3 linked regions of the Callithrix jacchus genome follow. The protein of the gene in region 2 interacts with the protein of the main gene of each other region in a pairwise test. Links are inferred from orthologs where the notes say so. Each region holds a gene or a part of one and is shown on either strand. Other genes may lie near its edges.

Region 1 (10,219 bases), on a different chromosome or scaffold from region 2:
TAGTCTTGTCTCCACACTCCATATCCTTACTGGCTTTCAAACCAGAAGCCCCAGAGTCCCCACACCTGCCTTTTCTCCCTCACCTGCAGTCCTCCACCAGGCTCTGGCCAGTCTGCCGTCTAAATATCTTTCTTGTGTGGCCCCTCCTCTGCCCTTGTCCAGTGCTTTCCCCCCTCCTCCCGGCTCATTCCACCTGTCACATCTTCACCATGCTAACTAACACCTGTTCATCCTTCGGATCTCAATTCAACTATCCTTCCCCAGGGAAGCCTTCCCTGCTCCCGAGTTTGGATCTCCTTTATACATTGTCTGGTCTCCTTCTCCCACTTTTTTCTTGATAGGCTTCATCACACTCAATAAGAATGTATTTGATTTTTTTTTTTTTTGAGATGGGGTCTTGCTCTGTTGCCCAGGCTGGAGTGCAGTGGCACGATCTTGGCTTACTGTAACCTCCAGCTCGTGGATTCAAGCTATTCCCCTGCCTCAGCCTCCCAAGTAGTTGGGATTGCAGGCATGCATTACTTCACCCAGCTAATTTTGTATTTTTAGTAGAGATGGGGTTTCTTTATGTTAGATGGGGTCTGGCTGGTCTTGAACTGCCAACCTCAGGTGATCTGCATGCCTCAGTCTCCCCAAGTGCTGAGAATACAAGCGTTAGCCACTGCCCCTGGGCTTGATTTACTTTTTTTTTTTTTTTTTGAGATGGAGTTTCGCTCTTGTTACCCAGGCTGGAGTGCAATGACGCGATCTCGGCTCACCACAACCTCCGCCTCCTGGGTTCAGGCAATTCTTCTGCCTCAGCCTCCTGAGTAGCTGGGATTACAGGCATGCACCACCATGCCCAGCTAATTTTTTGTATTTTTAGTAGAGATGGGGTTTCACCATGTTGACCAGGATGGTCTCGATCTCTTGACCTCATGATCCACCTGCCTCAGGCTCCCGAAGTGCTGGGATTACAGGCGCGAGCCACCGTGCCCGGCCCGATTTACTTTTTTAAGAGAGTCTTGCTCTGTCACCCAAGCAGGAGTGCTGTGGCACGATCGGAGTTCACTGTAGCCTCACACTCCTGGGCTCAAGTGATCCTCCCACCTCAGCCTCCCAAATAGCTAGGAGTGCAGGAGCGCACCACCATGCCCTGCTTTTATTTTTTGTAGAGATGTGTTCTCACTGTGTTACCCAGGCTGATTTTAAACTCCTGGGCTCAAGCAATCCTCTGGCCTCAGCCTCCCAAAAACTCACACCTGGGATTACAGGTGTGCGCCACCACGCCCTGCCAGGATGCTTCTGAATTGTGTATCTGTATGATCCTTTGATTCACATTCGTCTCCCCCTGCCAGAATGCACTATGTGTGACGGGCCTGGGTTTGTGTTGACCACCACCGTATGCCCTGGCTCAGAGCATTCCTCTCAGTCTGTGTAGTGAAGAGCTGAGGCGCCGCCACCTGCTCTCCGAGGCCAGGCCTGAGACGCCCCAAAATAGCCTGCTGGGCCAGGCCTCCATCCACCATGCCCTCAGAGTAGTGGGTCATGAGAAGGGGATGTTGAGGAGGTGAATGCACACCCTGTCCCGTGGCGGGCGGGGATGCGTGGGAGCTGGGGGCCACTGGTTTACAAGCAGTGAGGCTGCTCCCTCCCTCCCCCATATCAGTGCTTCTGCGCGCTTTCATAGCTCTGCACTCTTGATGTTTGATCTTCTGATGACCCAGAGAGGTCGGCATGGTCCTCCCACTTTATAGATGGTGCGACGGAGGCTTTGATGGATGGAGTTCCTCGCAAGCGGCAGAGTCAGGAACGCGACCAGGCCTCCCGCTTCCAAAGCCCATGCTATAAACTCTCACTTGCATTTCCCAATACTTGCCCTGGGAGGGATTTTAATGGGTTTCTGTGGTCAAGCAAGTGTGAGAAACTGGCTTGCTCAGCTCTGCTCACCGCCGGCCCTTCAGAGTACACGAATGTGCCTGGGACCTTGGGCAGGGGTTCCCTACCCAGCTGCCACTGAGCGTCAGGCCTCATAAAACTCCCAGGTGGCTCTCGGGTGCAGCCAGGGGCAAGAACTATGTAGTTTCCCCGCACTCCTTCCTTCTGAGGAGCCCCGTCTTTCAGGGGGCCTCATGAGAATTGGCTTCACTTCTCCTTTCTCTTCATTGGTCCCAACTCTTCATTCCTTCTCTTTGGCCCAAAGCGTTCCTCTGAACCAAGCAGGCCTCCCATTGTCTGCGGACGTCTGTCCAATACTGGCACAGTGTTTACTGGCTAGTCATCACAACAGCCCTCCCGATTCACAGAGAAGGAACTGCCTGCTTGGGAGGCGAAGGGATTTCCTGAGGCCGTGCAGCGGGAATCAAAGGCAGAGTCAGAACCCAGGCTTCTGGGTAGCGCAGGCCTGCCTTTCCCACCAGCTCCAGACCTCCTTGAGGACAAGGATGGTGACTCCTTCATCTCTGTCCCCAAAAGCACCGGTGCCCAGGAGCCACAGCCAGAGTGTAGGGCTTTTGCGGCCTCCTGTCTTACGAATACGGTGGTTATTTGTGGCCGTTCTCCTGTGCTGTCACAGGATTTGAAGTGGGTGACTGGCCAGAGGCGCTGGGGGCCTTTGTTCCCGAGGCAGGAGGAGCCCTTGGAGGAAGCAGCGGGGGCTTTTCTACCCCAGAGGCTTTGAAGACAAGGGAAGCCATTGGGCAAAGAGAGCATTCCTCTGAGTCTGTGTAGTGAAGAGCTGAGGTGCCGCCACCTGCTGTCCCAGGCCAGGCCTGAGACCCTCCAAAATAGCCTGCTGGGCCAGGCCTCCATCCACCATGCCCTCAGAGTGCACTTGGGCAGCCCTTTCGGAGGGCGTGGGGCAGGCAGATCAGTCATCAGATGGTCCCTGCCCTCGGCCCAGAATGCAATGCTGAGCCTGTGAGGCTGGGAGCCCCAGGCGAGGCCCTCCTGGGAACTGGGCTCTATCCCGAAGGCGGTGGGAGCCACAGCAGGGTTTAAACTGAGGTGCGCCTGGCTCAGATGTATATTCTAGAAGGACCTCCCTGGCCACAGGAATGGACTGAATGGAGGTTGGCCTGGGAAGAGCCCCAGCACTGTAGGAGCTTAGGGCAGAGGCTGTGGTGGGTAAACCTGCAGGGCTGAGCGGGGACAGGATGGGAGATCTGAGCGGGCACAGGCGGGATCTGGGCTGGAGCAGGACGCCTTGCTGGATGAAGGAGGAGAGTTGAGGGCGACAGCCGGGAGTCATGCCGGCTTCTCGCGCCCACCCCTCACTCACCTGTGTGCCAGCACTTCTCTCTGTGCTCTTCTTAAGGCAGGAACCAGGGTTCCTGCTGCTTCCCTGAGTTCCCCAGCACACCCCGGGCCTCGCAGGGAGTGGCTCTGCAGGTGGCGGTTGAACAGGGTCAGCCTCTGCCCAGGAGCCAGCAGGTGCCTGGAAAACAGCCGAGGGGCGGGGCAGACAGGAGAGACTGGAAGGAGGCAGCATCGGCCCCCACCGCTCCCTCCTGCTTCAGGGCAGAATGTGCTTCTACTAAGCCCTGCTGCTGGTGAGGGTCCCACAGGTAGCTGCCGTTAATGTTATCCTCGTTTGAGTTGGGTGTGGTGGCTCATGCCTGTAGTCCCAGCTACTTGGGAGACAGAGGTAAGAGGATCACCTGAACCCAGGAGGTGGAGGCTGCAGTGAGCTGAGATCCTGCCATCGCACTCCAGCCTGGGTGGCAGAGTGAGACCCTGTCTCAAACACAAACAAAATGGCCCTCTGTTTACACACGAGGAAACTGAGGCCCAGTCAGCCACTGGCCCAGGGCCCACACCTGGTAAGTGCTGGGGCCAATCTGGACCCGGGCAGGTGGCTCTATACCAGTGCTGGTGTGAAGGACCCAAGCAGAGTCTCTTCCCACCGTCTCTCACACACCTGCCCGTCTCCGGCAGTCATCAGACCCTTCCCTGAGCTCCTGCTCTGTGGCTGCCCCTGCCGTGCCTGAGGACACCAGAGGGAGCGCCAGCGCAGTGCAACAGTGACAGACAGTGTCGCTGTCACCCATGAGAGCAAGGCCTGCCAAGGGGCAGGGGAAGGGGCAACTTGGCCTGAGATACGGGCAACCTCTGCTCAGATCCCCCATTCCTAGCACTCCCCACCTCTGCCAGGCCAATCGCCATGACTGTTCACCCCCCACGCACTCCCATCTAGACCTGCTGGGGTGTGAAAGACAGCCCTGTGCTCAGGATGCCATGGACAGGTTCCCAGTTTCCACCAGTGAAATACAGCCTCCTTGTGAGGCTGGAAAGGTAAAACAGCTGTAGAGAACACCTGGCTCAGCGCAGCAGCTCACGCCTGTAATCCCAGCACTTAGGCTGAGGCGGTTGAATCACAAGGTCAAGAGTTTGAGACCAGCCTGGCCAACATGGAGAAACCCTGTCTCTACTAAAAACACAAAAAATTAGCCAGGCGTGGTGGCACACACCTGTAATCCCAGCTCCAGAGGCTGAGGCAGGAGAATTGCTTGAACCCAGGAGGTGGAGGTTGCAGTGAGCTGAGATTGCGCCATTGCACTCCAGCCTGGGCGACAGACAGAGTGAGACTCCTTCTCAAGAACAACAACAAAAAAATGCCTGGCACACAGTACGCGGGTCCTGGCATAACATTTGTGTTGTGACGTTGATGAGAAAAGAATATCGATTCCGGGGGCTGCTGTCTGGCTGGTGTTTGCAGGTTCTCCCTCTGCTGGTGCAGGTTCCTCTGGGCAATCCTTGGGATGTGTCCGCTGGGTGAGCTGCGGGGTCTCCACGGGCCATGAGTGAATGTGGGCCTCAGTGCGCCCTGTGATGGGATGGCATCCTGTCCAGGATCCGTTCCGGCTTTTGGCCCTGCCAGGATGGGCTTTGGCCCCCCAGGACCCTGAGCTGGTAGAAGTGAGTAAATTGGGTTACTTGATTTTTGTTTATTTTTTGGGACAGGTTCTCATTCTGTTGCCCAGGCTGGAGTGCAGTGGCTCACTGCAGCTGCGACTTCCTGGGCTCAGGAAATCCTCCCACCTCAGCTTCCCAAGTAGCTGGGAAATGGGTGCATGCCACCACACCTAGCTAATTTTTGTATTGTGTTTTTGAGACGGAGTCTTGGTGCACTTTGTCTGATCAGCCTGTCTATTAAGTCCCACCCACATGGCAAGCCCTGTGTCGGCTGCAGAAGGCTGGATGTGAATTGGCCAGCCAGGGTCCCCGCCTTCACAGAGCTGCATCCTTATCCAGTGACAGTGCGCAGTGGGCAGGGCTGGGGACGCAAGCTGGAAGGGAGGAAAGGAGAGAAGGGAGCCAGTAGAAAGGCCCAGAAGTCTGAGCCTTCCTGACCAAGGAAAGCAAGTATTAGGGGGCGGCAGAGAGGGTGATGGAGGCAGCTGTGGGGGGCAGGCTGCAAGAAGCCTTCTTCAGACGCCCTCCAGGCTGGGACACCCTCTCCAGGGCTGGAGCCAAGCGGAGAATTCCCGTCCCCATTCCAATGGCGATGGTGGTGGTACAGCCATTCCCGGGGGAAGGTTGTGGTTGAGGGCGGGAGAGGGAGGGCTGGAGGGCTCAGGCCCGCTGACTGCAGGCTCCTGAGAGCAGCTCACGGTTCCACACCCGCCTCTCTTCCATTCCCCAACTTCTGCTCTGCTGGGCTTTCTCTGAGAAATCTGGTACCTCATGCCCAAGCCATCCTGGGGTTTCTCGTGCCCCCCAGTCTGGGCCTCCTCCCTTCCTCTGCAGTGGATCACCTGAGTAAAAAAGTTTAAAAAATCCATGGCCAGGTGCAGTGGCTCTCGCCTGTAATCCCAGCACTTTGGGAGGTCAAGGCGGGCGACTAATTTGAGGCCAGGAATTCAAGACCAGCCTGGCCAACATGGTGAAACCCCATCTCTACCAAAAATACGAAAATTACTCGTATGTGCTGATGTGCACGCCTGTAATCCCAGCTACTAGGGAGACTGAGGCAGGAAAATCCCTTGAACCCAGGAGGCAGAGGTTGCAGTGAGTCAAGATCGTGCCATTGCTCTCCAGCCTGGGCAAAAGAACAAGTCAGTGTCTCCAAAAAAGAAAAATCCATGAGCACTTCTCCAGCCGTGCTGTCCACACATAGGCACGTAGGCAAACAGCACATGCAGCCCTCCTGCCACGCCTGCTGCCTGGGGCCTGCCTCTGTCAGCACAGTCCCCTCCCATGTGGACCCTGGCCTGCCCTTCCCAAGCACCCATGGGAAGATCTGCCTGTCCTGAGCTTCCTTCCACGTGTCCACCCAGGGATCTTGGCCAGTACTATAGGGGTGACTTCCATAGCCCCCTTTCCTGTAGCCCAACCTCCAGGCCTTGGGCAGGTCACCTGGAGCCTCTTGGTGTACTCACAGCGCCCAGGTCCCAGGGCGTTGTGAGGGTTCACACTGAAAGCACTTGCAGTGCATGACCGGTGTTAGCAGGAAGAGTCATACGGGGGAAGGGGTCTTGGGGAAGACCTCCATTGTTTCTGAAGGAAGCAGGATCTGGTCCTTGGATCCTGACAGTCGGGATCCAGAGAGCCTGCGAGGTCTGCAGAGGAGGGTGAGGGAGCCCGGGCACCCTAGAGGCCTGCCCCTGCCAAGCTGTGCTGGAACCCATCCCTGCTCACCCCTGAGTTGACGGGCACCAGCAAGTTGGTTTTCAGGTCCCCTTGCAGGTATCCCCCTGGGTGGCCCTGTGTTCGAGGTGGCCAAGGGCCCCTGAGCTTCTTTCCCCTGGCCTTCTAGGGACAGAATATGAACCTGTCGGTCCTGGAGAGTGTGGGCTTCCGCGTGGGCCAGGCTCTAGGCGAGAGGTGAGAGCGGCCCCTCCTGCTCTCCCCCAGCCTGGCTGGCAGGGTTGGGCAGGCCCCAGGCGGGGAGGGTTACATTGCTCCATGTGGGAGTCAGGCCTGGCTTCCTCCCTCTTCCTGGCCTGGCCCCACATCCTCAGCCTGGCACTGCCCCACCAGGCTACCCCGAGAGATGCTGGCCTTCAGGGAGGAGCTGGATGTCCTCAAGTTCTTGTGCAAAGACCTGTGGCTGGCCATATTCCAGAAGCAGATGGACAGCCTGCGCACCAATCACCAGGTGGGAGCACCCAGGCCTGCCAACCCGCCCAGCTCCCTCCCAAGGGTGTGGCCAGGAGAGTGGGAGGGGAAGCCCCAGTGCCAGAGCAGCAGGTCCCGGGACCTGCCCAGAACTTTCCTACCAGTGGCCGCAGCCCTTAGTGGGTCTCTGATCCTCTAAGGGAAGCCAGGAGGCTGCACTAGGGTATAGGGGGTGTTTCCAGAACCTCCCCAGCCCCGCCTACCAGGAGTGAGCCATCCATAGGCAGAAAGCCCCTGGTGGCCTCCTGCCCTCTCCCCAGTGCAATGCCACTTGTCCCAAGCTGGTCCAGTCCCCCAGTGAACACCCACGCTGTGCCGCTCCTCTGCCGCTTCCTGGGCTGGGTCCCCAGTTTTTCTGCACAACCCTGGGAGGTGGGGGCGGGACCCACACTCCCCAGGGCAGGAGTACTCAGCCGGTCAGGAAGCCCCAGGTACAGAGCACTGGAGGCCAAGGCTGTGACTCTAGCAGTTCTCACAGATGGGGCCTTCCCAGCCTCAGCCCAATCTAGCACTCAGGCTGGGTTCCCACTTCCCCTCCCTGCACTTCAAATGTACGGGCCCCACCACCACCCATGGCCTCTCCTCTCCCCCAGGGGACCTATGTCCTGCAGGACAACAGCTTCCCCCTCCTCCTCCCCATGGCTGCTGGCCTGCAATATCTGGAGGAAGCGCCCAAGGTATGGGAGGGAGCTGGGGCCTGTCCACACCTCCCTTCCTACTGTGTACTCGGCCCCAACCCCATGTCAGGCCTCTCCCCAGGCCTAAGGGGTACCCCAGACCTCAGGTGCCAGCCTCCCCTCTCTTCCCACACTGGTCTGTGTCCCCTTTCCAGTTCCTGGCCTTCACTTGCGGCCTCCTGCGCGGCGCCCTCTGTACCCTGGGCATCGAGAGCGTGGTCACCGCTTCCGTGGCAGCCCTGCCTGGCTGTGAGTCATGGCGGTGGGGGGGGCGGGATTCTTCTCATTTTTTGAGTTGCTGGGGGCCTCGGAGCTCCGGCTTGCTCCTATATTGGTGCTTGGGAGGCAGCCCCAGGCATAAGTCACCTGCTCAGCCACACAGCAGGTGCAGGCCCATCTGTGCCCCTGGCCCCATGACTTCCCCAGCGCTGCAGAGAGAACCGTCTGGCACAGTTCTGGAACAGAGCGTCCTCCTGGGGAGCAGGCTGGGGGCCGGAGTGCAGTGTCTGGCGGTGTGAACACCTCCCCCAGCACAGGAGCCCAGGTGGACGTAACAGGAGTCATCCTCGCTGATACTTGGCTCCTGGGAACTTGCAGCCTGCCTGCTGGGGTGTTCTCTGTCAGACAAGCTGCAGCCCCATTCCTGTCTGGGGACAGCCTGCCCAACCACTTCCCCCAGTTATTTTCCCTCTGCCACTTCCCCAGGCCCACTCATGGGGGCCCCAGTGGGTAGGACTGAGGAGGCATACCACAGAAGCCTGTGCAGGGCCCTCATACTCCTGGTTACCCACGCAGCCCAGGGATCCAGGCCACATGGGCGGGGGGAGGAAAAAGCCCCAGCCCAGCCCTTAGGCTGTCAGTGTGGGACAGGGTAAGCCCCTGAGAGCCATCCAGGTGTCCTCTGCGTCTCCCTCATCCCAGCCTCCAGCCTAAGCCAGTCCTTCTCTTCCAGGTAAGTTCCAGGTGGTGATTCAGAACTCCTGAGCCCACCCCACACCTGCTGAGCACACTGCTGCCCCCACCCTCACTGGCCTCAGGAGACAGTGGCTGCCTTGGACCCTTGGCTGCTGCATTTGGGGGGGGCTGGTGCTAGGTATCCCAGGCCCTAGGGGTCACATGTACTCAGGAAGTGGGTATCAAAGCAAGGTGGGGTGTCACAGGAGGCAAAGAGATGCCAGCCGTGATCTGGACTGGGGTGGGACTCCTGCCTCAGCAGTGTCACTGCCCAGCAGGTATTCAATAAAGGCTGTGTGTGTGGAATCCGACTCGGAGCAGTGGGGAAGGATCAGCGGGGCGACCGTCACAGGGCCTGCAGGGGAGTGGGCACCCTCTCTGGCCCCCATGCCCTTCAGACCCTCCCCTGCCAGGCCCAACTCCGCTCCCTCCCTCCCCAAACTCCTGGCAGAGGGATGCTGGCCCCCGGCACAGGCGGCCCTGTTAGTATCTCTGCCAAGTCAACAAGTCTGGGGCTGCCCTCTGCCTAGCAATGTATATGGAACAGAGCGTCTTCCTGGGGAGCAGGACTGGGGGCCCCTGGAGTGCAGGCAGGGGTGGGCTGGAGAATGCATGGGGGTTGGGGGAGGCAGGCACCCTCATGCACACATATGGCTCCTACCCGCTCCTGATGCCTGTCCTTGGGCAGTGACCTTTACACTGCCCCCTCCTGCCATGCTCCCATCTCTAGCATCTGGGGATACCTGGGCTTCGCCACCCACTGCCTGACACGGGTTAAGTGCCCAGCCTCAGAGCTGGCAACTGAGGCTGGGAGTGACCCAAATGCAACGAGAAACGGTCCCCTTGCTAAAGACACTCCCCTGTAGAGTGCGGTCCAGTCACCCCATCAGCCCCTACTTGGGTCATCCCTTCCCAGCCCACCTGGCTGAGAGCGGCCCTGATTTGCATCTGCCACTGCAGTGCTGCCCCTGCCTGGCCTGCTCCCCAAATTCCTGCTCCCTCTAGTGTCCAGCATCTTCCTGGCCATGTGTCTTATTGTTTACCTTGGGCCAGGCTCCGTGCTGGGGTGGGCAGTGGGGGCTTGACTTGGAGGCCCACCACAGACACCAGCCCCGCCTTCCTGGTGGGCCAGGGGGGAAAATTCCCAGAGCAGCCAGCGTGAGGGGTAGGGGAAAAGACAGAGCCGGTCCTGTCCCAGGTAGCAGGAAGGGCCCTGGTTCTGGCCATAGGGAGCAGAGTTTGCTCACCTGGGTAGAACCCAGGGCCAGGTAGGTTCCCTTTATCTTGTCCTGGGCACTGTTCCGGGGCTGCCTCCCCCATCCCCATCAGAGCACCGTGTCTCTCAGGGAAGGGACTGTTGACCCCATCACACCAGCAGCCTCGGAGTCAGGGCCCCGGAGAGCTGAGGGGTCTCCAGGGCATCTCCTGCCAGGCTCTCCCTGGCCCTCACCTCTCAGAGGGCGTCTGTGGAGTCACTGAGTGCTGGCCCC
Region 2 (10,219 bases):
CTACTTTGTTTCCAAAATTTGAGATGTTAACTTTTTCAGGAAGCTCATAAAATGGTGAGAGAAGCAAATATCAAGCAGGCAACAGCAGAAAAACAGCTGAAAGAAGCACAAGGAAAAGTAAGTTTTTGCTGCTCTTAATAGTATAAAATAATTAGTGATAATTATTTTAAAGATAACATCTGTTGGCTTTTGTTCTGATCGTAAAGTAGTGCTTGTTTTCAATTTGGAAACTGCAGAATAATAGAAGAAAATAGCTGATATGTAGATATAATTAATAGTGAACATTTGGTGTCCATTTATATGATAACCAAATGTTTAAAGCCTTGTAAATCACATGAATTATCCAAAGGATTATAGAATCACATTTTAAAGTTAATACTTAAGTTTTAAAATTCACTGAGAAAAGCCACCTAAATATTACTCGATTTTACTATTTTAGGAGTGAACTTCTACAACTAATCATAAGCTATTATATTTTAAAATTTTTGAAAATTCACATAAATGTTAGATATCTTGATGAGTTTCACAAATTCATTTGACATCGTGAATTAATAGATGAATCCAAGCCATATGGAAACATAAAAAAACTTGTTTTTACTTTCTCTTTATTACTCCACAGGAAACAGAAATTACTTTTCATCTCTGAAAGTGTTTTGACCAGATTGCTAATATTTAGCTGCATCTTTTATAAAACATATTTAGTGTATGTGACTATGTTGATTTTTTTTCAAGATTGATGTACTTCAGGCTGAAGTAGCTGCATTGAAGACACTTGTATTGTCCAGTTCTCCAACCTCACCTACGCAGGAGCCTCTGCCAGGTGGAAAGACACCTTTTAAAAAGGGGCATACAAGAAATAAAAGCACAAGCAGTGCTATGAGTGGCAGTCATCAGGACCTCAGTGTGATACAGCCAATTGTAAAAGACTGCAAAGAGGTAACTCGTCAAGGACTGTCCCCTCTGACTCTGTTGATACTTGTTAATTCTCATCACTGAGGTGTCAGTTATCATTTTGGCCAGCAAAATTTTTAGTACAAAATATGCAGTATTAAGATGGGGGAGGCTTTATCTAGAGCTGGCTGCTTTCAGGGATTCTTCAGTTCCATTCTCTACCTGACTGACCTTGGAGTACCTGCTGGAAACTTGGTAAGTTTCTTAATCTCAATATTTCATTAAGGGAGGAAACTGTTACATGTTGTCTAGAGGATAGTGGGTGGCTTTAGTGATCTGACTAGTCAAAATTTATTGCTAGAGTGCTCTTACAAAATATGAACATAAGAAATATGTGAAAATAAGATGATTTTCTTAAAGATCAGTGCATTTTTATTTAAATTTAGAGAGAAGAAGGAATTTTATATCAGTAAGGGAGTCCTAGAGTTAACTCAAATAATTAAGCAACAAAAAATAGAAATAATGGTAGCCTTACAACTCTGTAATGCTGAGGACATTTTGCTAAGTGAAATTTCAAGTTAGAGTAGAACCATTAGTGTTATTTCTGATCCCAAATTAGGTTTCGTAGTTCAACCAGTCTCAGTTATTCAGACACTTACAACTATGTAAGGCTACTGTTCTTATATATCCATAGTAACTAAAAATTTTAAAAAGAAATAATGGTAGTCTTATTATTTTAAAAGATGTGTTATAAAGATAACTGAAATATAAATATTTAGAGCTCTTTAGAGTAAAAATTTTTTTAAATTATTGCATACTATGAGAATGCATTTCTAAGAGGATTGATCAATAATTTATGAAGCTCTCCCATTTCTTCTTAGAAGCCATCTTTTACATTGTTGTTTCAAGTCCATCATTAATCTTGAAGAAATGTGTGTGCTTGTTAAATTTTTGTATGGAAACCAGGAGTTTATTAAATGGAATAACCAATGTTGTTAACCTGTTTTAATTGAATTGCATTTTGACTAATTTTTAATAAAAAAGATGCTGATAAGAGAGAAGTTCAGTACTTGGTTAGATCTGAATGTAACCAAATCCAAAATTTACATTGTTTTCTGTGAAATATTTAAGAAACTTTTTTTGTCCTGACTTTAATTTAAATTCTTTGGAATTTAGATAGCCTTATTAATTGCCTGGTCCAACTTGTATTTTTGCTGTTTCTCACTCAGTAAGTATAAGTAATTATGTACTTCACCCCATTTACACGAAAAAAATTTGAGTGTCTTCTCATGGAAAATTGTAAAGATTCATTTTTAATTTTTTGAAATCTTTTAAAATGTGTGTAGGCAGCATATAACTTCAAAATAATAATCTTTGCTTTCCAGGTATGAGTTATATTCTGATGTTTCATAAAAAGCTTGTCAAAAAGTCTTACTAGACAAAGGAATTACATAAATTTGACCTGTGTAAGTCTTATAAAAATATGTAACAATCTGGAAGAAAATGATGCATGTCTATGTTTTTGTAGAAAATATGGTGGAGTACTCAGTCAGACAAAAGCAACAGTTTGTCTTCTGTAACATTTAAAATATACATGCACGCTTGCAGACATAGATGCCAAGTGCGAGGCTTTGGGATTAAGCCACTTAGATTTGAATTTGGACTTTACTGCTTTCTTGCTATGCAATCTTGGGCAAGTTACAAATAGGGATCATAATATCTGCCTTGCACAGTTGTGAGGATTAAATGTTTGTAAAGTGCTTACAGTAGTTCCTGGCACAAGTCAGCTCTTAAAAAGTGGTTTAAATTACTGCCTTTGAACTAGAATCTTTCCTTAGAGTACCATTTACCTGCTTTGGGGTTTATGTCCATTTTCTCAGTAACTTTAGAAAGAAAATGCATTTGAAAATGTAAGTATTGCTTGTATGCTAATATTATTTATTTTTTTGCTTTTAGCTTTGATTCAAGGAATTTATTAATTGGGCTGAAAAAAAAATTCTTATGGAAATTGCCCTTATGCACCCTAAAAGGAAGTCTGTAGGAAAGCTTGGTTACCCTCAGCTCTTGGTTACATTCTTGTAGACTACTTGCACATCTGATTAAGCTATACTAAAGGCAGGCTATAGCTGTAGTGAGTGCATCATTTATGGTATGTCCAGTGCTTCTGGACTAGAGTGGCTTAGAGCTGTAGGATGAAGGAGACTGCTTTAGTTTGGGTGGCTGATGTCAGTGGAACTTTGTATTCCAGCAGATGGTATTGAGCTGGACTTAGGGAATCTGAGAATCTGTAAGGAAGAATACTTGGGGAAAATTTATTACAGAGGTGAGAAAGAGAGGGACAGCTGGAAGAGTAAATAGGAAGGCAGGTGCCAGCAGTGGATTATTACTGATGCCTAAGATGGTAGTTGCTGGATGCCCAAAATATGTCAAAAATATCTAAATAAATGTTATATTTTAAGGTAGTCAGTTTAGGAGGCTTTATGTGTTTTTTTTTAATCCTTCTGCAATAAATGTTTTGACAATTCTTTTGGGGATGCCTTCAAATGATAGTAGAACAATTAGTGTCATTTTTGATCCCAAACTAGGTTTCACAGTTCAGCCAGTCTCAGTTTATTCAGACACTTCAATTAATTAGGTTCCAGATTACTTTTTTATTATTTTTAGAAAAGACTTGTCATCATTTATTATAATCTGAATAGAGTGCCACTTGTGTCTTAAGAGGAACTCCAGCTTTTTTTGTGGGGATGGGAGAAGGGGCTCAGGGTGAGGGTAATGTTAGCATTATTGAACGTGGTAGTGGATGATAATAGAAAAAGGCAAATTGGCTATTTGGGAGTCATTTTTTAAAAGGAAAACTGCTACGAGGTATTATAACTAATCAAGAGTGGTTCAATTTATTATTTTAAATGAAGAGCATTTTTTAGTAATGTTTAAATTAGTTTTGATTTTGTAAAGTGGTTATGTTTGTACTTTTTAAAAAGTGTTTTTGTGTTTTCCTTTGGTTTGTTTGATAGGCTGACTTATCCTTGTATAATGAGTTCCGATTGTGGAAGGATGAGCCCACAATGGACAGGACATGTCCTTTTTTAGACAAAATCTACCAGGAAGATATCTTTCCATGTTTAACATTCTCAAAAAGCGAGGTAACTTTTTCATATTAGGAATACATTATAGTTGTTTCTATCTTTTTAAAACTAAATCGTGATATATATTTTAATATCTCTTACATAAATAAGTTATTATAAAATGTCATGTTTTACTATTTTTGCCATTCCATATTAGAATTATGATAATTTCTTGGCATTCAGTTACTGAACATCCTTATATAAGCAGAGACTCATTCACGCTAACATGTACTGCGTTGGAGTCAGGTATTAACTAGATATGGGGGATAGGGCTTATTTCTTGATTTGCAATCTAAGGTTCAGTGTAAGGGAAGTTCTCTGCACACCCAGTTAAAGGCATCTGTTGTGTCTATCTGTACATGATTCAAAATCTTATTTTTTTAACTTTAAAACAGGAAAAGTAATGTCTTTGCCCATGCCACAGGATTGTTAAAAGGATAAAATGAAGTAGATTAAGTAGATACAAAAAACTTAGAAAAATAAGGCAGTATAAAAATTTAAAGCTGTAATTTTAATTTGTTCTTACATGTGAAAGGTTTGTTTACAAATATCCTGTCAATTAAAGTATAAGAAATTTAATCCTAAGAGTCTTATGTTAAGCATTTCAAGGATTTAATTGTAATATTACTTATCAGAAGTTAAGATGAAAATTTTTCACACTTTTGATATGAATATGTGTTGTTCATTGTGGCTCTGTATCTGGTTTCAGGTAGGCCATTCAGTAATAGTAACCTTGACAGACTACAGAAGTTTGCCTGTTTCAAATCTAGTATAATTCCTGCCATCTTCATCTGGGCATTTAATGTTGGATAATTCAGCTAATTCTTTTGTAGACTCACTCTTGTGCACGTAAATACAAATTCAGAAAATATATAGCTAATTAATATATATTAGTGTGTTATAAATGATCAGTGTTTAAAAATACTGTATACATTTAGCAGAATAAAGCTTTAGGATATTAATTTTGAAGTGGTATTAACAGTAGATATTAATTGTGGGTAAAAAATGAACAGAAGCTGGAATTAATACCTTTAATCCTTGTCCAGATAATGAGGATAGTTATTTACCATAAGTGAATTGCCTTTCATAACAGTGTTTGGATTAGAAAATAAACCAAAATTGTGTGATTTTTTTCTTTTTCATTTGCTAAAGCAAAGCTAGTGGAACTTGGGAGAATAATTTATAAAATTAGTTTACTGTAGAATACAATTTTTATATTTTTCTGCCAGTGTAACATCTAATATATATTTTTTTAAGTTGGCTTCTGCTGTTCTGGAGGCTGTGGAAAACAATACTCTAAGCATTGAACCAGTGGGATTACAACCTATCCGGTTTGTGAAAGCTTCTGCAGTTGAATGTGGAGGACCAAAGTAGGTTTTTCCATGCATAACTTGTGAAAGTGACTGAGTTTTTGAAATGTTTTGGGTTGCAGTTATTTAGTTTTTCTGCTTTTAAATGTAGTTATATTTCCCTCAGATTTCTCTTTAGAGTCTGTGTAGCCCAAAGACGAATCCATGAGACACTGTGGAATATAGTATTTCAGATTTAGCATCAAAGGAGAGCGGTTTTAATTATGGATTGGTGCAAAAGTAATCGTGGTTTTTGCCATTGAAAGTAATGGCACCAAGCATGATTACTTTGGCACCAACTCAATGCAATAATATATATATATGATAGGACTAGAGATAGAAACCTGAGTGGTGGGGTGTGTGTGTGTGTGTGTGTGTGTGTGTGTGTATCTCATATTGTGACCTATCAGTGCATTGTGAAATCAGTTTAGTGGGTCATAAGCAGAATTTTTGTTTATTACACACATATATATAGCCATGTGTCCTGGGTTTCTGTATAAAATACTTCTCTCTGAAGGTGACCATCAAAAATAGTTTGGGAAGATACTGAGTTAAGACTAAATCATATCAATCATGAACGCAATGTACCAAAAAGACTTGCTGAGTTCTCTTCTTTCATATTATGTTTATAAAGGATTCTCACTTTAATAAACAATCAGTTTTATCTTTCATATGTGAATCTTACTTGAGAATTATAAACCTTCAGAGATAAGACTCCCACATTTCATAAGAGGACAGACTTTTTTCCCATCCAGTCCTATGAGGAGGAATAACTGAAAACAACAGTGCTTAACGCATCTGGCAAAGGTGAAAGGTTTTGCCTAAAACAGCATAATTGTGTCTTGCCTTTTATTTAGAAAATGACTTTGAAAGCTTTTGAGAAAGATGCTTATTAAATGCTAAAAGCCAGATCAATATAGGGAACTGGAAAGCCTGAGAGTGCTCATAGAAAGCATAACTGACTGCTGTCAGGGTTATTTTGAAGCGCGAAGAGGAAAAGACTGGTTGAGATGAACCAATGAAGTCTGTGTTAAAGCTGTTCTGGGGATTATGTATGCCTTTCTGTTCCTGTTAATGCTCGTTACATTCTCCACAAGATTACAGAATGTTGTTATTGAGGGGACGATTTGTTGGAGGGTTCCTAGTCATATATTTGATTTGCTCTGTAAGCCACATGTCCACCTCACTCCCCTAGTGCCACACCTGTACCACAGTAGCCTCTGAATTTTAGGGAAAGTATTTACATTCTTAAATTCTACAAACACAAGAGTATTTTTTTCTGATCCTTCCACCTCAAATATGGAGAATTAAATTTAATCATAGCAGTTTTTGTACTTTTAAAGTCTAAATTATGCCTCATTTTAAATATAGCATATGACAGTTTTTATTGTAGAGTTTAAAATTTGTGCTTGCATTATATATCACACATATACATGTGCACATATCATAAATGATAACAAATGGGGATATCAAACTAAAATGGATTTATAGTATCTTTAGTAAAATAATTATTAGTTTAGATTTAGAGAACAGTTTACAAAATTTAAGGATACTGTGCTTGTGGGAATCGGGCCAGAAATCAAGGCATTTGTGATGCATATCATTTGGAAAAAACTGAAGGAAGATAGTGTCTTCTTTAATGAAATGTGAAGTATGGCTCTGGCCGTAGCTCTTGTGAGCTGGAATGTGAAGATATTGACTAAATCAGTGGCACAACACTGAGGGCTTTGAAGAAGACAAGATCATTTCAGCTATGATTAGGTACTCTTCTTGAAGGGAGAGATTTTTGAAGCATAAGGGGAATTTGGATAAAGAGCAGTATATACAACTGAAGGCCTAGAAACAAGAAATCAAAGTGTGTTCAGAGGATGGTGAGCGTATGGAGAGGAAAGAGAAGATGTGAGAGATTTTAAGAAAGAAATGTTAGATTGGGGTGGGGGATGGGTAAAGGAGAAAGGAGTTAGAGATGTCTGACTGGAAGACTGATTTGAAGTGATTGTGGAAATTAACAGGAAAGACTTTGGTTTGTGGAAGGAGATTACAGGTCTAGATGTAGACATGTTGACATTTTCACATGAAAATGGCCAAACAAGGATTTGAAATCTTGGGTCTAGAGTTAAAGAGATATATTAATGTAGTGTATGTAGCATATTTGGAAAGAAAAATTGGAGTTGGAGGTCAGAGGTCTATTAGCATTGAATCTGTGGTTAACTACAAATATAGTAGTGTGTCCAGTTTACAAAATGGCTTAGAAATGAGATCTTTTAAGAAACACTATACACCATAGAATGCTATGCAACCATAAAAAAGAATGAGATCATGTCCTTTGCAGAGACATGGCTGGAGCTGGAGGCCATTATCCTTAGCAAACTAATGTAGGAACAGAGAACCAAATGCTACCTGTTCTCACTTACAAGTGGGAGCTAAATGATGAGAACACATGGACACATAGAAGGGAACTACACACACTGCAGCCTATGGAAGGGTGGAGGATGGGAAGAGGGAGAGGAACAGGTAGAATAATGGATACTAGGCTTAATACCTGGGTGATGAAATAATGTATATCACAACACCTATATAGCATATGTTTACCTATGTAATAAACCTGCACATCATGCACATGTACTCCTGAACTTAGAAGTTAAAAAAAAAACACTTATTGTTTTAAAAGTTGATACTTAAAGCCACCTTACCAGATCCATTTCAAAATTAAACTAAATAGTAGACCAGCAGGCATATATCTGTTTCCAGAAGAATAGTATATAAATTGATTTTTAGCAGCTTGATGGCACATTTTCCTCTTGTGTAGATTAGACTTTGGAAGTTCCACAGATTTCCAACACTTTGTGCTTTAAATTTCTAGATCTTCATCCTCCTCAAGCTAGTAGTTAGTGCTTTTAAATACTGTTACAGATCATTAAAGGAATTGCTAATAAAGAAACAATAAAGAAATAGCTTTTTGAAGAAAGATAGGAATTGGTTTGTGATTTTAATTGCCACCTCAAAAATTATCCTATTTACACATTGTTGTGTGTTTTCTTAATATAGAGGCACATTTGTATTATATTTAAGTATCACGAAAACATTGTTATTTAATGTATTTACTATATGATTTGTTCTGTCACATAAAATGCTACTGGCTACTCACTTTACTTAGAGCTATGCTAATTTTGCATTGATGGGGAGTGATAGTTGTATTAAGCCAGGTTTCTAGCTTAGGAGGGTGACAACTAGGTTGCTACAAGTCCAGCCTGATAGACATGCCAGCTTTACCTCACAGAGCCATAGAGTAACAGATGGGTCAGTCATTGAATGTGTGCTGTGTTCTTGGCACATGCTTGGTGCCAGGCATTTAAAGATGAATCAAAGCCCCTGCCCTCAAGAGGCTGATAGCCTAATCCCAGCCAGGAAGCCCTCATATAAAATTTTAGCTTTTTGTCATATGCAAATAGAAAGAGTGGTGTGAAATTTCTTGAACTTGTTATACGATGGTTAAGATTCAGTATTTTTGTAAGGTGGATTATTCCTTTGTACTTCTCCCTAGGTCCCACATTAAATGCATAATAGCAACCAACCAACCAAATAAACAAATACCCCATCTGGAAACTATTACCCTGCAAGCTGTCAACATGCTTTGAGACTTGAACAGACATCATGAGGATATTTTCAACTGAGAAGTTGAAATCCTGATGGAAAGCTGAGAGCTGTCCTGCAGCTGATTACTCATTTGTAAATTTGTTCCAAGATGGGACATATATGGAAAACACCTAGTTTCTGTTTCTAGAATTGTGGTTAAAGTTATGGCATTAAACTTATACTATTAATAGAATGTAAGTCTCACAAGGGCAGAGACTTTGTCCTTTTCATCACTGTAGCCCAGCATCTAGAACTGTGTTTGGTACATAGCAGGTTCTTAAATATTTGTTATCTAACTGAATGAGTAGGCAACTTGTACAGAAGGTAGGGGCAAATGCTTTTAATTTAAAAAAACTGATATTTATCATTATTTTACAGAAAATGTGCTCTTACTGGCCAGAGTAAGTCCTGTAAACACAGAATTAAATTAGGGGACTCAAGCAACTATTATTATATTTCTCCTTTTTGCAGATACAGGGTAAGTGACTTAACCATGAATTTTAATAAAGCTTGCTTTGACATGATACATTTGACCATTCATGACATTTTTTCCATTTGGCCTAGATCACTTCTGTATGTAACTTTTTTACATACATTCGATACATTCAGCAGGGACTCGTTAAGCAGCAGGATGGTGAGTGTTCTTGATTAATTAAAATCTTTACATAAAAGTTCAGCAAAAGTATAGGAAGTAGTAGTAATGCATGTATCAACTTTATTGTTGGTGCATTTACATTGAATTCCTTCTATAGTTCTAATAAAATTTGTGGAGAATTTGGGAACAAATGTCTTTAAACAAATATTTTAGTTTTATTTGCCTCATTTTACTCTTAATTTTGAATTTTAAGCAGGATTAGTTTTAACTCATCAGGGGTATGTGATAAACCAGATGGTAAATGTGAAGAGTTCCACGCTCACTGAATCGACTCTTTAAGAGATGAAAATGAGCAAGCCCACAGAGTGGTCTGATTTATTTTAATTGACGGAAACCAAGATGGAGCTAACAATTAAGTTTTCCCTGTATATTCTGCTTTCACGTATGAATTAATAAAGCAGTCATGAGGATAATTCTTAATGGCATAAAGATTATCATATTCTAAATCAGCAGAAATGTACAGGTGATATATCCAGGAGAACCAACCTCATGCAAGTGTGTTAATATTTTGTAATACAGTTTTATATGGTTTTATAACTATAAATATCAGACATAAAAACTAA
Region 3 (9,327 bases), on a different chromosome or scaffold from region 2:
CTGGGCGGGAGGCTGTCCGCGCCGCGTGGGCGCCGGGCCCGGTGGCTGCTGCGCATGCTCCCGAGGGCCCCGGCCGAGCCCATCCCGGTGGCCCTGCGTGTGCCTGCGGCCTCCGGACCTCTGAGACTTGCCTAGCCCGCCGAAGAGGCAGGGTCGCGGGGCAGGGGCTGCGATTCCCTCCTGTTTACGTGATGTCGGGCCTCCGTTGGGTGGGCTCCGAGAACCTCTAGGCGCCCACGCCTGTTCCTGTGCTCCGGGCATTGAGCAAAGTCAGATCGTCACAGTGCCTGCCCTGCCCCGGGGAGGGGGGCCTAGCAGACGACGGGGAGCAGGCTTCTCACCCGTGGTCACCGCCGCCCTTGACTGACCTCGTTCCACTGTCCTCCTACCCTGCAGCCGGAGGACCTGATGAACATGCAGCACTGCAACCTCCTCTGCCTGCCCGAGAACTACCAGATGAAATACTACTTCTACCATGGCCTCTCCTGGCCCCAGGTGGGCAGCTTCTGAATTTGGGCGTGGGAAAAACCAGGCCGAGGAAAATCCAATCGGGCCATCTGGAAGGGAGTGGACAAGTCTGTCAGCCCAGAGGGCTATATGGTCGGTGACTTCCCGGGTGTTTTCAGCTGGCAGGCAGGGGCAATGGAAAAGAAGGCACCTGAAGGGAGCAGAGAATAGGGGCAGGATCCCCACATTGTGTTTTCTTTCCAGGCATGGGGAGGGCACAGTGTGGCTTGGGGCAGACCAGGTCACCCAGCCTGGAGGTGGTGAGCTGTCATACAGCTTGCCACGTGTCCAGCTTCTGTCCCTGTAAGGGCTCCTCCAGCTCCACCACGAAGTTTTCTCATTCCCCTTTCCTCTCTGTCACCAGCTCTCTTACATTGCTGAGGACGAGAATGGGAAGATTGTGGGGTATGTCCTGGCCAAAATGTGAGTCATCAAGGAGGAAGAGAGAAGCTACACGTGTCTGGTGGATGCTGCTGTGGGCTTTTAAAAAAAAGAATAGGCTTTTTATTTTCAGTACAGTTGAAAGTTTTTAGAAAAGTTGAACAGAAAGGACATGGAGTTCTCATCGAACCCCACAGCACCCATCCCTGCCAGTTTCCTCTGTTAGTAGCATGTTGGATTTGCGTGATCCATTTGTGACAAGTGACAAACGAATGTGATTTATTATTTATTTGTTTAGTTTTGATACCGAGTCTCACTCTGTTGCTCTGTTGCCCTGTTGCCCAGGCTGGAGTGCGGTGGCATGACCTCAGCTCACTGCAACGTCTGTCTCCTGGGTTCAAGGGATTCTTCTGCCTCACCCTCCCTAGTAGCTGAGATTACAGGCATGTGCTACCACACCCGGCTAATTTTTGCATTTTTACTAGAGACGGTGTTTCACCACGTGGGCCAGGCTGGTCTCGAACTCCTGACCTCAGGTGATCCACCCGCCTTGGCCTCCCAAAGTGCTGGGATTACAGGCGCGAGCCACGGCGCCTGGCCGATATATTGTGAACTAAACCAACAGTTTACATTGCTGCACGTCTCTTTGTGTTGTAAGCCTTACGGTTTTGACCAAATGGCATGTGTCCACCTTGTATTATCACAGGATAGTTTCACTGGGTTCCACGCATTCATCCCTCCCTCTCCTTAACCCCTGGCAACCACTGATTTTTTTACTGTCTGCATAGTTTTCCTTTTCCAGGATGTCACAGAATTGGAATCATACCGTATACAGCCTTTTCAGACTGGCTGCTTTTTCACTTAGTAATATGCATTTAAGCTTCTGCCTTGTCTTTGGGTTGACGGTTCATTTCTTTTTTTCTTTTTCTTTTTTGAGACAGGGTCTCGCTCTGTTGCCCAAGCTGCAGTGCAGTGGCGTGATCACGGCTCACTTACAGCCTCAACCTCCCAGGCTCAAATGATCCTGTCACCTCTGCCTCCCAAGCAGCCGAGACCACAGGCATGCGCCACCATACCCAGCTCATTTACAAATTTTTTTTGTGGAAATGGTGTCTCACTATGTTTTCCAGGCTGGTCTTGAACTGCTGGGCTCAAGCGATCCTCTTTTCTTGGCCTGCCAAGTAGCTGGAACTCTAGGCGTGTGCCACCACACCCGGCATGCATGGGGTTTTTAGGCAGCAGAGGGTGGCAGTATCAGCTGCGCTGATCCAAGAGGCTCCCAGCCCTCCCCCAGCTGGGGTCTTAGGTGGCTGTAGGGCCAGCCTAGAGTTTGCATGTCCACTCTACGTATGGCAGGGGTGGGGGTGGAGGTGCCTACACAGAGCTCCTTTGCAGCCTCACCTTCCTCTCTCTCCAGGGAAGAAGACCCAGATGATGTGCCCCATGGACATATCACCTCATTGGTTTGTAGAGTCCACCCAGGCTCTGGTGGGGGTGGAAGTGGGGGTTAGTTGGGGCAGCCCTCAGGGTCCCAGCCCCTCATCCCCTCTCTGCTCTTCCACCAGGCTGTGAAGCGTTCCCATCGGCGCCTCGGTCTGGCACAGAAACTGATGGACCAGGCCTCTCGAGCGATGATAGAGAACTTCAATGCCAAATACGTCTCCCTGCATGTCAGGAAGAGGTGGAAGCTGGGCTGAGGGAAGGGGGATTGAGGGGAGAGATGCTGCCTTGACGGGAGTCCTGGGGGCCTTGGCTTTTGGTGAAGACCCGGGAAGTGGGATTGGTGGGAAGGAGGCACCAGAGGGGAGGGGCAGGGCCTGGACATGCTACCCTACCTGGCCCAATCCGTGCAGCTCAGCAGTGCCTTGTTCTCCTGCAGTAACCGGGCCGCCCTGCACCTCTATTCCAACACCCTCAACTTTCAGTAAGTAGATCTTGGTGTCTGTAATGGGTTGGGGCTGGTCCCAGGTCTGGCTGTCAGGGCCGCTGAGACCAGCTGAGCTGCTTTCCAGGCAGGGGGTGGGCTAGCTACGGGGAGGAGGCTGTGGATCCCAGCGCTGCCAAGATGCCTCCCCACTCACTTGGTGGCTGATGGCTGAAATGTGCTCCATGTGTGTTGTGATGGAGGAGCTCTGGCCCATGCTGGCTGAGGCTGGTGAAGGGCACAGGGTTGTTTAGTCATGTTTGGGAATAGAGATGTGTGGGTCTCTGGCATGAGCAGATGCTAAGGAGCAGGACTCTGTGTGACCAAGCGCCTGGAAGCATCTAAGAGAGAGCAGAAGCAAGGAGAATGCATGTTCAGGAAGAAAGGGCCGGCGGCCAGGCAGCCTAGTGGATGGGGCAGGTCTGCCGAGGACCCGGAGGCCCCGTTTGCCTGGCCCAGGAGAGAGAACCTGGCAGTCAGTGTGCCCAGTAGACAGTGGAAAAAAGTGCTTGCAAGTGAAGCTGGGGTGGGCTACCCGTGTGCCCGTGGAGGGATGCTAACTGCACTCAGCACCAGTTTGACTGTTGGGAAGGGCGGTGGCCTCGGCTGGGTGCTGGCAGGAAGGATCTGTGACCCAGATGAGGATGTCTGGTGGAAACTGCTTTATAGTGAAGTCAACAGTCCTCATGTCTGAGGTCTGACAGGGCCAGCCTTCCAGGACATGGCCACCCGAGCCTGCACGCGTGCCTCCCCAGTGCGGGCTGGGCTGTGCTGCATAGGGATGCAGCCCTCAAACGGGCTCACCCACGTTCCTGTATTTTCATCACTGTGGTGAGGCAGCTCAGTAAGGGATAGGAAGCAGGGCAGAAAGGGAAGGGGAAGGCTGAATTCAGGGCTTCAGCTCACAAGAAACCACAGAAGGGGAATCCTTAGTAGCCAGGCTAAGGACACAGAACAGGAACAGGACAGGGGTGGGGCGGGCCACTGTTACCTGGAGCCTTTACTGGAAGTGGGGCCACTGGAGGATTCTTTCAGGCTGGACTTGCTGTCTCAGGATGGAGCCTTCAGGGAGAAAACATGTCACCTTGCTTCAGTAGCCATGATGCCAGGAGCAGAGGAGGATGTGTCCTGGGTATGGGTCTTCCTCCTTGCTCTCTGCCCTCTGCCCCCAGGATCAGTGAAGTGGAGCCCAAATACTATGCAGATGGGGAGGATGCCTACGCCATGAAGCGGGATCTCACCCAGATGGCGGACGAGGTGAGAGCGCTGCAGTTTAGCCAAGCGAGGCCAGTGGGGTCGGCCCTGTGGGCGGGGGGGAGGTGGCGGCACTTGAGAGCCCTGGGACAGTGGCTGGAAGCAAGACCAACTTTGGGCGCCAGCCCTTGTGGCCACATTGCCAGGACTCACGGCCTCAGTTTCCTAGGCTGGGCTTTAGAGGAGGCTGTCTGCCTAGCAGCAGCCTGGAGGGTGGTGGGAGAGGCAGACGGAGGAGGCTTTTAGAAGGGAAGTGGGACAGCCTGGGACCAGTGGGTGGCCTGCCTGCTCAGAGGTAGTTCTGAGTCAGGGTTCTGCCCAAGGTGGCAGGGCTGTTGAAGGGGCAGCACTCGGTCGTGGGGGCCTCCATGGTAGTCAGTGAACCCAGGGAGCAGTGGGCAAGGCTCCAGCCAGGTGTCCCCACTCAGTCCCGTGTGTCTTTCCTAGCCCTGCTGCTTCTCATTATGCCCGTCCCCTCAGCCAGCGACAAGTCCAGGCTCCCCTTGTCTGGAAACTTAGGCCCTGTATCTTTGCTCCCGCTTCTCCCTGGGCTCCTGGCGGCAGCTGAGGCGGCACCTGGAGCTGAAGGAGAAGGGCAGGCACATGGTGCTGGGCGCCATGGAGAACAAGGTGGAGAGCAAAGGCAGCTCACCTCCGAACTCAGGAGAGGCCTGTCGTGAGGAGAAGGGCCTGGCTGCTGAGGATAGTGGAGGGGACAGCAAGGACCTCAGCGAGGTCAGCGAGACCACAGAGAGCACAGATGTCAAAGACAGCTCAGAGGCCTCCGACTCGGCCTCCTAGAGCCTGCCCCGGCCCTTCCTCACCCCACGAGCTTTCACAATAAATTCGCTCTATGGCACTGGGGAACTTTGTGTGTGTGTGTGTGTGTGTGTGTGTGTGTGTGTGTGTGTATGCGCACGTGCGCTTGCACATTTAGAAGGTGTGTTTCTCCAGCTCCTCTGTCTGGTGGGGATGTGAACCTCACAGCCTTTTAAGCCAGGGCATCCTGCCAGGCCCGAGTAGAAGGGAGGAGCTTTGTGAGAGCCTTGGGGGTGGGACTCCCCAGTCTCATAACCTTCAGCAGCTGTGGCCCCAGGGAAGGAGGCCCTAGACTTCCGGGAGAGACCCTGCCTCAGAGGCCTGCTCGGCCACGCCGAATGTGTTTTGTGCAAGCCTCGGCCGCTCAGGCTCAAAGCTCAACAGCGGGCTCCCATTCTTCAGTACTTCTGCTTGGCTCTTGAGTGTCCCACCTCCAGCCCTTTTCTCTCCTAATCACACTTGCTTTGGGCTACAGCAGCTCCACTACACCCCGTGGGCTTCAGATGTAGACATCCAACTGCTCATTGGGCCTGTCTACAGCTGTCCTGTCTGAGTAATGACCCAGCCAGATGCCCAGTTGCTCAAGCCCTGTCAGTGGTCCTTGAGTCCTCCCTCCCCTGCTACCCTAATGGTCAGTGAGTCCATGATACCTCTTGGGTCTGCTCCCTAACCTGAGTTTGCAGTTGAAAATAATTGATTTTTAGTACAGTTCCCCCCGTTTCTCCTACTGACATTTTGTATTAGTTGGTGTGTTGGTTTCTGTTGATTAGCCAATACTGATATGTTATTGTAAAGTGTAGCCCATGTTTCACAGTAGGGTCCTTGTCTGTGTTGTACAGTTTCTATGGGGTTACACAAATGCATAAAGCTATGTATCCCCCATTACAGTTTCATGCAGAATACAAAACTGGGCAGCTGTTGGGTATGGTGGGTCACACCTGTAATCACAGCACTTTGGGAGGCCGAGGTGGGCGGATCAGTTGAACTCAGGAGTTGACCAGCCTGGGCAGCATGATGAAACCCCATCTCTACTAAAAATCAAAAACAGCGAGGCGTCGTGGTGCACACCTGTAATCCCGGCTACTTGGGACGCTGAGGCCGGAGGATCGCTTAAGCCTGGGAGGTGGAGGTTGCTGTGATCCCAGATCATGCTACCACACTCCAGGGACACATATATATCAAAATCCTGTTTTTCATGGAGTCACCCAAACTCCATGTGTCTTTGCTCCCTCCTATTCCCTCCGGCTGCAAAGCCATCACTTGTCTCTGAGCGGGCCCTGTATTCCTGAGCCGTCTCTATACACAACATCTCTGCTACTGCAGGTGGCACACTGCTGCTCCGCCAGGTTGAAAATTCGCCGTACAGGCCTGGACCTCGGTTCTCGTTGGCTGGTGTGTCGCACGTGACCAGCAGGCAGCCTGCCGCGGTGGAAGCCGAGCCCAGAGCTCGGCAGGGCGGGGCCGGGACCGGAAAGTCGCGCCTGCGCACGCCCACCGCTCTACAGTTCCCGGCTCGGGCGAGGCTGTGTTCTGATTGGCTCAAGACGTGGGCTTCCCTTTGTATGGGCCAGAGGCGGCGCCCTGTCCCGCCCCGTGCCTGGCGTCAGTATCTTCCGGTTCGCAAGCCGGCGGCAAGCTTCGTTCCCAGGCTCTGATTGGTTCGGCGGCGCCGAGCTCTGCGCGCAGGGCGTGGGGGAAGGGAGGGCATGCGCACTGCGTCGGCCCCGCACCGGCACCGGTGGAAAGAAGCTGGGCCGGGCTCACACGGCGCCCTTCTTCCTCCCCTGCTCGGCCCGCCCTCCGCCCTCCTGTCCGCCGCTCCGTCTGTCGCCACGCGGGCAGGTCCGCGCTTTCTGCGGGCTGCCTGGCTTTAGGATGCCTTGAAGGGGAACAGTGGAGCTAAGAATAGAGCGAGCAGCAGGTGACAGTTGAGTTCAGGGCCTTAAATGCCACACAACTGCCCTAAAAGCCAGGGCCCAACACTCAGGTTCTAAAGCACGGGCTGAATGGGGCAACATAGGACTAGCTCTGGAGTGAGAAAAGGAGTGAAGAGAGCGTTTGAGGCACGGGCTGAGCCCTTTTCTGCCTGCCTGAGCCCTGTGCCTGTCTCTGTGTGGAGGGACCTTTGGGGACCAGTCGGGGCTTGGATGGAAGAGCAGGGTGTGTTGGGGTCAGCTAATGAGGGGAGGGGGTCCCTGATTCCCCTTGGCCTGAGACAGCGGCGGGACGTGTGAGTCTCCCTAGCAGGAGCAGGTTGGGGTGTGGCTGTGGCTGTGCGCGCCGTGGGAAGGGGCGCAGGCTGGAGGACTCGAACCTCAGCATTTCCGAGACCAGCTGCTGGAAGTCCAGGTCCTGGGCCTACCGGGGTCTGGCTAGCTCCCAGGCCTCGAAGCCTCAGGTCCTGCAGACCCTCACAACAACGTCTTCGAGAAGGGCCTGGGAGAAGGGGGCGGGGAGCTAGGGGAGTGTATTTTCCTTCTGGGCAAGAGAATTAATTGCTCATAGTTGAAAGGCAGGAAGTACCTGCACAGCCTCCCCTCCTCCCCAGATCTGCAGGTCAAGGTTATGACTCTGACATCCGTGCACATAAAGGCTTAGGACCCTTGCACTGGTGCCCACAGGCCCGCTTTTGGGACACACTCCTGGTGCCCAAGTGCTTTGTCCCTCTCCCCAAGTCTATATCCCAAGGATTTCCCTCCCAGCAAATTGAAGCCAGTTGTCTGCTTGGCATGTCAACAACCTCCTGCCTCCTGCCTTCCCGATTTCCCCGAGAAAAGCTGCTGCCCTGCGGTAGTGGGTGGAGGAAAGGCCCCACCACCTCTGTATGAGGGAGGCCCCAGACTTGCCCCCAGGGTAGCTAAGACCTTACTCTGAGGGGGCTGTCCCCCTCAGGCCTATGATGGGCAGGTGCAGCTGCAGGGGAAGGGAGGCAGAGCAGCCTCTTCCGGCAGCAGGAAGTGGTAACCGCCTATGTGGAAATTGTGGGGCTGAGCAGAAGGGGAACCAGAGGAAACCCTGCTCCCCCACCAAGGGGGCCTGGAGGGAACAGCCAACAGCTGCTGAGGTTCTGCTCTCTGGCGATGACCTTCCTTCTCCTCCCCTCCAAACTTCCCACCCCAGCTCTCAAGGCTCCCTGGGAAGGGACGACCCCGTCCGATGTCCAGGACCTGGGGCAGCAGTGCTATTCATGTCCACGGGCACTGTGGGCCAGCGACCCCGGTGCGAACGGTGCAGTCTGGCAGTGGTGACCACGGACAGCCTTCTGGAGGTGGTGGCAGGATTGCAGCCAGGGATGCCCACTTACCTCGGGGTCTCACACCCGCCCCGGCTGCTTGGCAGCGGGGCTTTCGGCACAAGGCAGCCTAGGTGCAGGCCCAGCGGGAGGGGACGACAAGGCCGGGGCACAATGGGGCTGCAAGGGGGGGTCCTGCCCCCGGGAGCCCCTCGCGGCCAGTGCCGGGCCGGGGCCGCCCCGCCCCACCTGGAGCGGCGCTGGGGGCGGGGCTGGGCGGAGCCCGCGCAGGGTGCTGGCCGCAGCGCCCCCGAGTCCCGGCGCCGGCTCTGCTCGCGACCGCGTGGGAGCAGTGGGGTTTGACGGCGCGGCCGCCAGGCCGCCATGGCCGCTCACGGGAAGCTGCGGCGGGAGCGGGGGCTACAGGCTGAGTATGAGACGCAAGTCAAAGGTGAGAGGGCGCCGGGCGCTCCCGGCCCGTATCCTGCGGAGACCCCAAGGTCGTGAGGGCGCTCCAAGCGTGCCCGCACTGACCCAGGGCCCGATGCTCTCCCCAGCGACCTCTGGAGGGGGGTGGAGGAGGGAGCCTGAGCCCCTTGCCTGCTTCCCCACGCCCATTTGGCCTCAGCCGCCTGCCATCTTCCCTTTCTCCTTGCCTCTCTTCCTTCGTTTGGTCCCTGTTCCTCACCCAAGGCCCAGTGGAGACACTGGTGGCCGCTGGTAAAGGGGAGCCGGATGCACCAACGTGCCCCCAGGAGGCAGTGTGTTAGCTACAGTGAAGTGGGTAAGGGAGTCCAGGTGAGTGGATTGGTGGAGATCACCTGGCCCTAACCCCGCTGCAGTCCCTGGAGCCCCAGCACCTTTTGCCTCCCTTTGGCACTGACGGGGATCAGAGGTGAGGGCCACTGTCTTTGGGTCAAGCTGGCGCAGTGAGTCTTGGTTGAGAGATTCAGCAGGGCTGGCTTCTCAGCCTTCTGAAATTGAACCTCTCCAGGTTCTGATAAACACCCATGTGCAAATCACATGCAAGTCAGCTTTGCAAATTCTTAGCCATGGTAACTCCTGCAAAGGAAAAGGGCAGCAGCTCAGTGCCAGCAGCTCCTCCATATCACTCTCAATCACTCCATTTTGCCAATTACGGAAACAAACTCAGAGAGGTGCAGTGACTCGCCCATGGTCACACAGCACGACAACTTCTAGAACATAGAAT

What was found.
Region 1: the proteins of RAB3IP (region 2) and TRAPPC6A interact in binary tests that used the Homo sapiens proteins (3 or more experiments, as listed by UniProt). The two-hybrid records come from large-scale screens. The link is inferred for Callithrix jacchus from reciprocal best matches to the Homo sapiens genes RAB3IP and TRAPPC6A.
Region 3: the proteins of RAB3IP (region 2) and NAA10 interact in binary tests that used the Homo sapiens proteins (3 or more experiments, as listed by UniProt). The two-hybrid records come from large-scale screens. The link is inferred for Callithrix jacchus from reciprocal best matches to the Homo sapiens genes RAB3IP and NAA10.

Annotation. Positions count from the first base shown.
Region 1 is NC_133523.1:39,353,390-39,363,608, reverse strand, and holds the end of TRAPPC6A (trafficking protein particle complex subunit 6A), read left to right. Parts: intron 1-6,736; coding exon 6,737-6,804; intron 6,805-6,960; coding exon 6,961-7,078; intron 7,079-7,691; coding exon 7,692-7,775; intron 7,776-7,930; coding exon 7,931-8,024; intron 8,025-8,727; coding exon 8,728-8,759; 3' UTR 8,760-9,035; downstream 9,036-10,219. UniProt on the Homo sapiens protein: May play a role in vesicular transport during the biogenesis of melanosomes.
Region 2 is NC_133510.1:72,376,180-72,386,398, forward strand, and holds part of RAB3IP (rab-3A-interacting protein), read left to right. Parts: intron 1-39; coding exon 40-117; intron 118-732; coding exon 733-936; intron 937-3,905; coding exon 3,906-4,034; intron 4,035-5,273; coding exon 5,274-5,386; intron 5,387-9,379; coding exon 9,380-9,479; intron 9,480-9,565; coding exon 9,566-9,635; intron 9,636-10,219. UniProt on the Homo sapiens protein: Guanine nucleotide exchange factor (GEF) which may activate RAB8A and RAB8B. Promotes the exchange of GDP to GTP, converting inactive GDP-bound Rab proteins into their active GTP-bound form.
Region 3 is NC_133524.1:149,838,273-149,847,599, reverse strand, and holds the end of NAA10 (N-alpha-acetyltransferase 10), read left to right. Parts: intron 1-396; coding exon 397-495; coding exon of another isoform or gene 496-600; intron 601-871; coding exon 872-930; intron 931-2,305; coding exon 2,306-2,351; intron 2,352-2,453; coding exon 2,454-2,569; intron 2,570-2,767; coding exon 2,768-2,812; intron 2,813-3,847; coding exon of another isoform or gene 3,848-3,984; coding exon 3,985-4,069; intron 4,070-4,585; coding exon 4,586-4,867; 3' UTR 4,868-4,933; downstream 4,934-9,327. Other genes in the region: ARHGAP4 (rho GTPase-activating protein 4), read left to right, coding at 6,592-6,727. UniProt on the Homo sapiens protein: Catalytic subunit of N-terminal acetyltransferase complexes which display alpha (N-terminal) acetyltransferase activity. Acetylates amino termini that are devoid of initiator methionine.